Linked DNA regions of Rattus norvegicus. The protein of the gene in region 2 interacts with the protein of the main gene of each other region in a pairwise test. Links are inferred from orthologs where the notes say so. Each region holds a gene or a part of one and is shown on either strand. Other genes may lie near its edges.

Evidence for each region.
Region 1: the proteins of Ube2e2 (region 2) and Rnf103 interact in a two-hybrid assay, tested with the Homo sapiens proteins (2 studies listed by BioGRID). The link is inferred for Rattus norvegicus from reciprocal best matches to the Homo sapiens genes UBE2E2 and RNF103.

What each region holds. Positions count from the first base shown.
Region 1 is NC_086022.1:105,097,981-105,101,531, forward strand, and holds the end of Rnf103 (E3 ubiquitin-protein ligase RNF103), read left to right. Parts: intron 1-833; coding exon of another isoform or gene 834-848; coding exon 849-2,418; 3' UTR 2,419-2,856; downstream 2,857-3,551. UniProt on the Homo sapiens protein: Acts as an E2-dependent E3 ubiquitin-protein ligase, probably involved in the ER-associated protein degradation pathway.
Region 2 is NC_086033.1:9,409,917-9,414,495, reverse strand, and holds the start of Ube2e2 (ubiquitin-conjugating enzyme E2 E2), read right to left. Parts: upstream 2,877-4,579; 5' UTR 2,767-2,876; intron 1-2,766.

The DNA.
Region 1 (3,551 bases), on a different chromosome or scaffold from region 2:
TCACTAGATACCAAAGGACCTCGTGCATAACTGTAATCAGGTGGTGATTGTAATTATGCTCATCATCACTCCACTGGTAAATGGATTGGCCTGAAACTTTGTATACTTTCTGTCTGTGTTTCCTAAGTGTTAAGGCCTTTTTTACGGTATTCATTACAGAGAAAAGAAAGTTAACTGTAACTTGAAGTAGCTGCCTTTTGGATTGGCTTATTTATGTAAAGATTACTGTTTAGTAGTTAGTGCCTATTGCCTTGTGCTAGGCCTTGTGGGAGTAGCTAGTTGAGAAGTGGTAAGGTAGGTGCCTATTGAGGACTCTGAACTACCTCAGGGACTCAGCATGTAGGAGCATTCATCTTCCTCTGTTTCTCCCTAATTTCTAACCATCTTTTAAGGCCTAATTCTTTTCCAACCCTTTCTTGAGCTATTTACCTGCTCAAATTCCTAGTAATATCTCTTCTTTGATCTTACTTTGTTACTGGTTTCTCATCCATAACAGCAGTTTTTAATTCTGTATGAGCAGAAATCACTTGCCATTATCTTTGGATCTTAGTATGTAACACAGTTGCACATAGGCGGTGCTAAAGTATTTTCTGACTCTTTGGCTTAGAAATGCTTTAGGTATGCCTTATACAAAATTTTTTTCTTAAACACAGAAATTCAAAGCAGACTATAGTAAGCTTGCTTATTCTGGCACACTTGCCAGAAGTTTTGGCTTCTCTTTGGTTATTGGAGATTATCTGGTCTCAAAGAAGAGGGTCTTAAAAGGGTACCTTTCAGGCCCTAAAGAAAATTGTTAGCATGTAAGTTGTTCAACAGCCTCACTGTTCATTCAGTTTACTCTCTTACAGGTACTGCAGAAGGAGAGGCTGGGTACGTTCCACTCTCATCATGTCTGTCCCACAAACAAGCACATCTAAAGGGAAAGTCATGCTTAAAGAGTACAGTGGGCGCAAGATTGAAGTAGAACACATTTTTAAATGGATAACTGCCCATGCAGCTTCTCGGATCAAAACTATATATAATGTTGAGCATTTGAAAGAAGAATGGAATAAAAGTGATCAGTACTGGGTAAAAATATACCTGTTTGCAAACCTTGACCAACCACCAGCTTTCTTCTCTGCATTAAGTATAAAATTTACTGGAAGAGTTGAGTTTATTTTTGTTAATGTGGAAAATTGGAACAACAAGAGTTATATGACAGATATTGGTATTTATAACATGCCGTCATACATACTTAGAACTCCTGAAGGAATTTACAGATATGGAAATCACACAGGTGAATTTATATCCCTTCAGGCCATGGATTCATTTTTACGCTCATTACAACCTGAAGTAAATGATCTGTTTGTTTTGAGTTTGGTTCTAGTTAATCTTATGGCTTGGATGGACTTATTTATTACACAAGGAGCAACCATCAAGCGATTTGTGGTTCTCATAAGCACTTTAGGGACATACAATTCCCTATTAATTATTTCTTGGCTACCTGTGTTGGGCTTTCTACAGCTCCCTTACTTAGATAGCTTTTATGAATATAGTTTAAGATTGCTGCGATACTCTAATACAACCACACTGGCTTCGTGGGTAAGGGCAGACTGGATGTTTTACTCTTCACACCCAGCCCTGTTTCTCAGTACATACCTTGGACATGGTTTGCTAATTGATTACTTTGAGAAGAAGAGACGGCGCAGCAACAATGATGAAGTTAATGCGAATAATTTAGAGTGGTTATCAAGTCTGTGGGACTGGTACACCAGCTACCTCTTCCACCCGATTGCTTCTTTTCAGAACTTTCCTGTAGACTCTGATTGGGATGAAGACCCTGACTTATTCTTGGAGCGGTTAGCTTTCCCTGACCTTTGGCTTCACCCTCTGATACCAACTGATTATATTAAAAACTTACCAATGTGGCGGTTTAAATGTCTTGGGGCTCAGTCTGAAGAAGAAATGTCGGAGAGTTCTCAAGACACTGAAAATGACTCAGATAGTGACAACACGGACACTTTTAGTAGTAGTAAGGATGTATTTGAAGATAAACAAAATGTTCACAGTTCTCCAGGAAGAACAAGTCGCTGCGATACTGAGGCTTGTTCATGTGCCAATAAATGTTGTCAGACCAGCCCATGTGAAAGGAAGAGGAGGTCATATGGCTCACATAATACTAAGGAAGATATGGAGCCGGACTGGCTAACTTGGCCTGCTGGTACGCTGCACTGTACTGAATGTGTTGTTTGCCTTGAGAATTTTGAGAATGGATGTTTGCTGATGGGGTTGCCTTGTGGTCATGTGTTTCACCAGAATTGCATTGTTATGTGGTTGGCTGGGGGCCGACACTGTTGCCCTGTTTGCCGTTGGCCTTCATATAAGAAAAAGCAGCCATATGCACAGCAACAGCCGTTGTCAAATGATGCTCCATCTTGACCATGTGCAGTTGTCCAATAAGCTTTGAGTATCTTACAGCTTGCCTTTTTAATGTTAGTCACAATGTTTTTGTGGTTTGAAGTTTAGTTTAATGTTAGTGCAGTGACAGGAAATACACATTATGCTGATGTTGATGACAGAATTTATTTGGATGCCTTGTGTGTCAATTGAATGCATACTAAACTGTAAAAAAATTATTTACAGCATTGAAAATTCAGAAGTTAATGGGTTTTTTGTAAGCACAAAAGAGGTATGGTAGAAATTTATCTTAGCAAGACTTTATGAGGCAGGATCAAATCCTAGTGGGCCTGAGCTGATTTCTTACCCTAAATGTTTTTTCCCTTTTTACAATCTCTGTCCAGCACCTCTTGGTTAAATAATGTATGCTCTGAGACATGAAATTAAAACAGATCTATAAAATAAATTATTTTAAAAGCAGAAGGTTGTAGGTTTTCTGATCTTAAGCTGTGATAAGGTAACTGGTTTTTGTAGGTGTTTTGCTGGATTGCTAGTTTCACGGGTCATTGCACCATGATGTTGAGGTGGAGGGAAGGATAGGAATCCTAGTGCTGACACTGGCTCTGAGTAGTGGTAGTTGACCTCGCAGCCTGATAGCTTGGATAGGAAAGGATTTTATAGGGGCTTTGAAAAATTAGTATTTAGCATATTCATCTAAGTAAAAGCAACTATAATTTATTGTCATACAAGGACTACCTTGTATGTTTAACTGACTTTTTTATTTTGAAAATTTTCAGTGCTACAGGAAAGCTGAGAATATAGCTAGTAGAGTAAATATCTATTTCTCTTTCGTGCACCATATTTGTATTTTATTACATTTACTTTAGCACCTTTTTATTACAATTTTAATATTTCTTCTTTTTCCCTCTCAGTCTATTGAAAGTAAACTTGAAACATGATGCTTTACCCATAAACAGTCACTACACCACATTTTCTATGAATGAGAGCTTTCTCTTACATAGTCAACACCTAATCATACCCTTGAAATTTAATATTGATTCAGTAATACCTAATACATGCTCCTTGTTTCCTAAATGTCTTTATATCTTTGTCTGTCTGTGTTTCATTCTTACTGCGAATATAGAGAAGACTCATCTGTTGGATTCAGTCTCCTT
Region 2 (4,579 bases):
ACTTAATAGAACACTGAAATTTTATGTCAGTTATGTTTCCCGTCTAGCTCAAAAAGTCTGAGCATATTTCTTAGGGTTTCTTATTTGACTTTAACCTTCTCATTACTTGGGTTTAATATTTGTACTCTTTCTCAGCTTGCTTCTTTGAGCTAAAATATACCTAAAGTTAAAAGCCTTGTAAGTAGGTACCCTATAGCTTGCTGGATAAGCAGGTGTATAGGGAAACAGAAAGAAGCATTCTTAGGATTAGATGCTCTCAGGGGCAGGACACCGTGGGCACTCTTAAGAGATGTGAAATCAGTGAGAAACTGTTCTATGTATCTGAAACCTGAGGCAATCCATCACACGGCAGACACCAGAACTGCAGGAAAGTGGCTCCCTTACACTGCGGCCACGGCTATGACTGCTGTGTGCTGAGTCAGTCGTGAAGTGCGCACTCGTTTCGATACTCTTTATGTGCACACCTGATAATGTGTAAACTCTACAGTTACTGAATAGGCCACTCTGTGATGTAGTGGGCTACAACCTGAAACTGAAACATCCATGACTACAGCAGAAGACCAGAAGAGTAAAGGACTAAAACTACTACTGAAGGTCTGGGGGATGGGGCTCAGTTCCAGAGCGCCTGCCAAGCATGTATGTTAAGGCCTGGGTTCCATACAGAACACTTCCCCAGAATCTTCTGAAATGGCTAAACAGAAGCATCGCTTCTATAGTTTTACAGCTTAAAAAAGTCGTTTCTACTTTTCATCTAAGATACCTTATCTGACCCAAAGTTTTACCTACTAATGACAGATCCTCCTGAGGCCACTGATAAGCACTACAAAAACCATTCAGAAACAAAGGCTCTGTATCCCATTTTCAAATGTCAAAAGTTAAGAGACTCTCTGCTGGATTACAGAAAAAAAGGGGACAACGTGATCGTGTACTCTGGGACAATTAATTCATATGAGAGGAGACCCTCTATAGATAATTCAAATTAACTCTGTGTCAAATTGGTGTCTCGTCTCTCTAAAGTATAAATGAGTAGGCTCCTGCATTAAAACTTCCACATATTATCTTTACTAGCATTTTAAAATTAATTCCTAAAGAGCTAATTCCCTAATCTAGAAGGAAGCTAGGTTCCAGGGATCTCACTAAACACAAATGCATCCTCCAACGACAGTTTCAAAGAACTTAAGGCACCTCAAGTGGTATTTTTACTTCAGATTCAGAGCAAACCGTAGTCCCTAACTAAACATAAATGCATTACATTTAAGAATTGAAACACTCATTTTCTAAGCTTTGTTGACTATACGCTCTGTGATGTCATGGGGTTCTGGAAATTCCCTGCCAGCACATAGAGAGTGAAAGTAGCCTGTTTCAGAAAAACTAAAGGATCTGGCTGCAAATCCCAGCGAGGAAAGCAACAGTACTGCAGTCCACATTACTATCCAAATCACCAAATATCAAGATTTTCAAAAGCTCAGGAAAGCAAGAATTCATTTGTGCTGCTCCGACAGGAAAATGTGAACTTGTCGTTGACGTCCCGGTTTCTCTACTTGGGATTTCTGAACTTTTCCAAAACGTGAAATGTTGTATGTTATGTGCCGATCATGTAGCGCTACCCAGCTTTCCAAGTGACTGAAAAGATATTTATTCGAAAAATAAAAGTGGAGCACCTGACTGGGGGAAGTGCTGTGCCCTAGGGGAAAGAGCTCAAGGTACGGCATATGAAAACACTCCATCTTCATCGCACACAAACGAAACTGCAAAGCGCCCAGGAGCATCCTGACTGCCTGAGTAAAGACAAATATTTAGATTCCCAAGACTCGGACTTGGTTATCGCATCTCTAGAGCGTGTTTTTCAAAATGCAAGGATTTAAAACTAAGACGAGCTCTTAAAAATCTTTCTGAACAGTAAGGCAATCAGAGGCAAGTCCTAGCAAATTCTTTTGTACTTTAAAATGGAAATACTCGAGTAGACCCTCAAAATGACACAATGCAGGGTTGGACGATAAGAGTCTTGCAAACCAGCAAATGGGTCCAAGAGCTGCCACCAAGCCCAGGGTGATGATGTCTCTCTAATGCGGCCTTAATTTCCTTTAGGGAAGATGGATGGGGCATTTCTGGTTAGTCGTGGGAAAAGACGCAAGAAGCCAGGCTTTATGTTCATTAGAATTGGAAAAAGGCAAATGGATCAAAACATTAGGAGCAAAGAAGGGGGTGGGTGGGGGTGGGGGGACAGAGGGAATCCAGTTTCCAATCAGGCCAGTGGGGGCTGCAGAGAAGCCAGAGGAAAACCGGCTTCGGAGCCAAACTGTGCCAAGCACCAGGCATTACAAAAGACCAGTGTGACGCCCCCCACCCCGGGGCATCACGCACACACTCAGCCGGTATTCCCGGGCGGGCCCTCGCCCGCTTGGACACCTCGTGTAGCAATTATGCAATTAGGGAAGAGCTCGGGACAGCCGGGCACTTTGCACCGCGACATCCATCCTGGACTTTGCGGAGACTTAGTTCCTGGCTGCGGTGGGCGCGGGAGGGGAGAGGACAGGTCCTCGAAGGCGAAGGAGGGCCACACTCTGCGGGAGGGGGGAGGGGCGCGCGGGCCCCAGCGGGCACGCGCAGGGCCAGGGAGGCCTGCGGGGCCGCGGGCGCGCGCCCGAGCCGAGGCCGCGGCGGGGGCGGGGATCTCGCCGGTCTGCCCCTCGCCGCGTGGGGTCCCCGCGCGCCCTACGCCGGGGCTCCGGCCGCGGCCACGCCCGCCCGCCCGCGCCTACTCACCTCGCGGCGCCGCCCGCGCTCCAGCCGCGGCTCGGACGCCGAGTCCGGGAGTGAAGCCGCCGCCTCCGCGAGCCGCCGCTGCCGCCGCCGCCCGCCGTCCGCGCGCGCCCCCTCCCAAGCGCGCACTCGCCCTGCCTGCCCCGAGAGCCCGCGACAGCGCGAGCCCCACGTCGGCCTCGCGGTGCCGCGCCCGCGAGCCCGCGACGCGCTTTGGCCCCGCCCCCGCCGGCGCGTGCCCGCGCGCGGGGGGGACCAGTAAGGTGCGCGCGCAAAAGTAAAGTGACAGCTGAGTCCTGGGCCCGGTAAAGGCGGGTTAGGGCGAAGGGAAATGGAGGAGGGAAATCGAGGCTCGACGGCGGCGCGAAGGGAGGGACGCGAGGACCTTGACGAGCGCGCGCAGTAAAGGGACACGCATTAAAGGGACACGCGGGCTAAGGGGTGGGGGTGCGTTTCAGGAGGGTGCAGTGCGGCGGAGTTGGATGAAGGGTAGGGAGACCCCCTCCCCCCCGACCCACACACACCATGCACCCACCAGCTTGTGCTCGTGCAGGACCCACCTGCCCCGCGGTTGGGAAACTTCGCGTGGGCCCGGATGAAGCCTCGCTTTACCCCATAACTGCTGCAGGAAAGGTCCTGCTGAGCCTAGTTCTGTCCAGGAATGCTGGCTGCCACCCTGGGAGGCTGCGGAGGGCGGGGCGGGGCGGGGCGAAGGGTGCAGCACTATCAGAGTGAGTGGGAGGCTGCCACTGAAAGACCCGCGTGGGACAGTAGCTGTGCTGTGAGTGGCCTGAGGAATATCAGGTTTCCCAGTCATTGTAGCCCAAAATAGGCACTGAAGAAAAAATTGCACATTCTGGGTTAACTCAGCACCCATGAACTCACCTCATCACCACCACCACCACCACCACCACCCACACACACACACACACACACACACACACACACACACACACACACACACACGGCCCTCCAGCCTATCATAACAGCTAAGATCTAAGACTACTCTTAACTTCTGTGAGGATTCTTGGGAGCGGTTGAGCCCATGCAGTAGTTCTGCCCAACAGAAAGGGCTGGGACCTCCATTCTCACGGATGAGAGGGGAAGACCCATTACGCTCCAAGACACTTGAACAGTGATAGCCAATACATAGGAAACCATGGGGAACCCAGCCTAACAGCCTAACACCTAACAGGTGGCCATAGGCCACCATGAGAATGTGAAGCCCTGAGTCAATCAAGAACTAGTGAAAAAAGACGCCAGAGACTAGAGCAATACAAGACCCAGAACCGGCTTCTGGAACAGAAAATGCTTCCACGAGATGCATTCTTCAAGAGTTGGCTTTTAACTAATTAAGTCACTGAAAACTGCCCCAAGCAGCTAATGGTGTCTAGCCTGGAACTCACCACTGAGGAAAAATAACAGCACCTTTGTCCTTAGGAATGTCAGCTCAAGAATGTTTGGGAGGGAGGGTTGGAAATGGTGAAACCTGGTTTTCTGGTTTGTGTGGCCACGTACAGCTGTCTCATGGTGTATTAGGAGAATACTAATACATGTACTAGTACAGTGTGTTAGTAGAAATGCATCATGTTTAAATATTATCAAATACAGTATTTCACAGACAGTCTTAAGTGTCTATATAAATTATCTTCCCTCATGGAATCTTTGCACGTTCTCGGTTTGCAAATATCCTGATCGTTTCAAGAGTACAGACATAGGGAAGACTTGGTTGTGTTTTGAAACTCTTTAAAAATTGTTTTGTTTTGATGCTGGGATTGGACCCAGGGCTTCAACAGGCTAAGCAGGCACAGGAGTT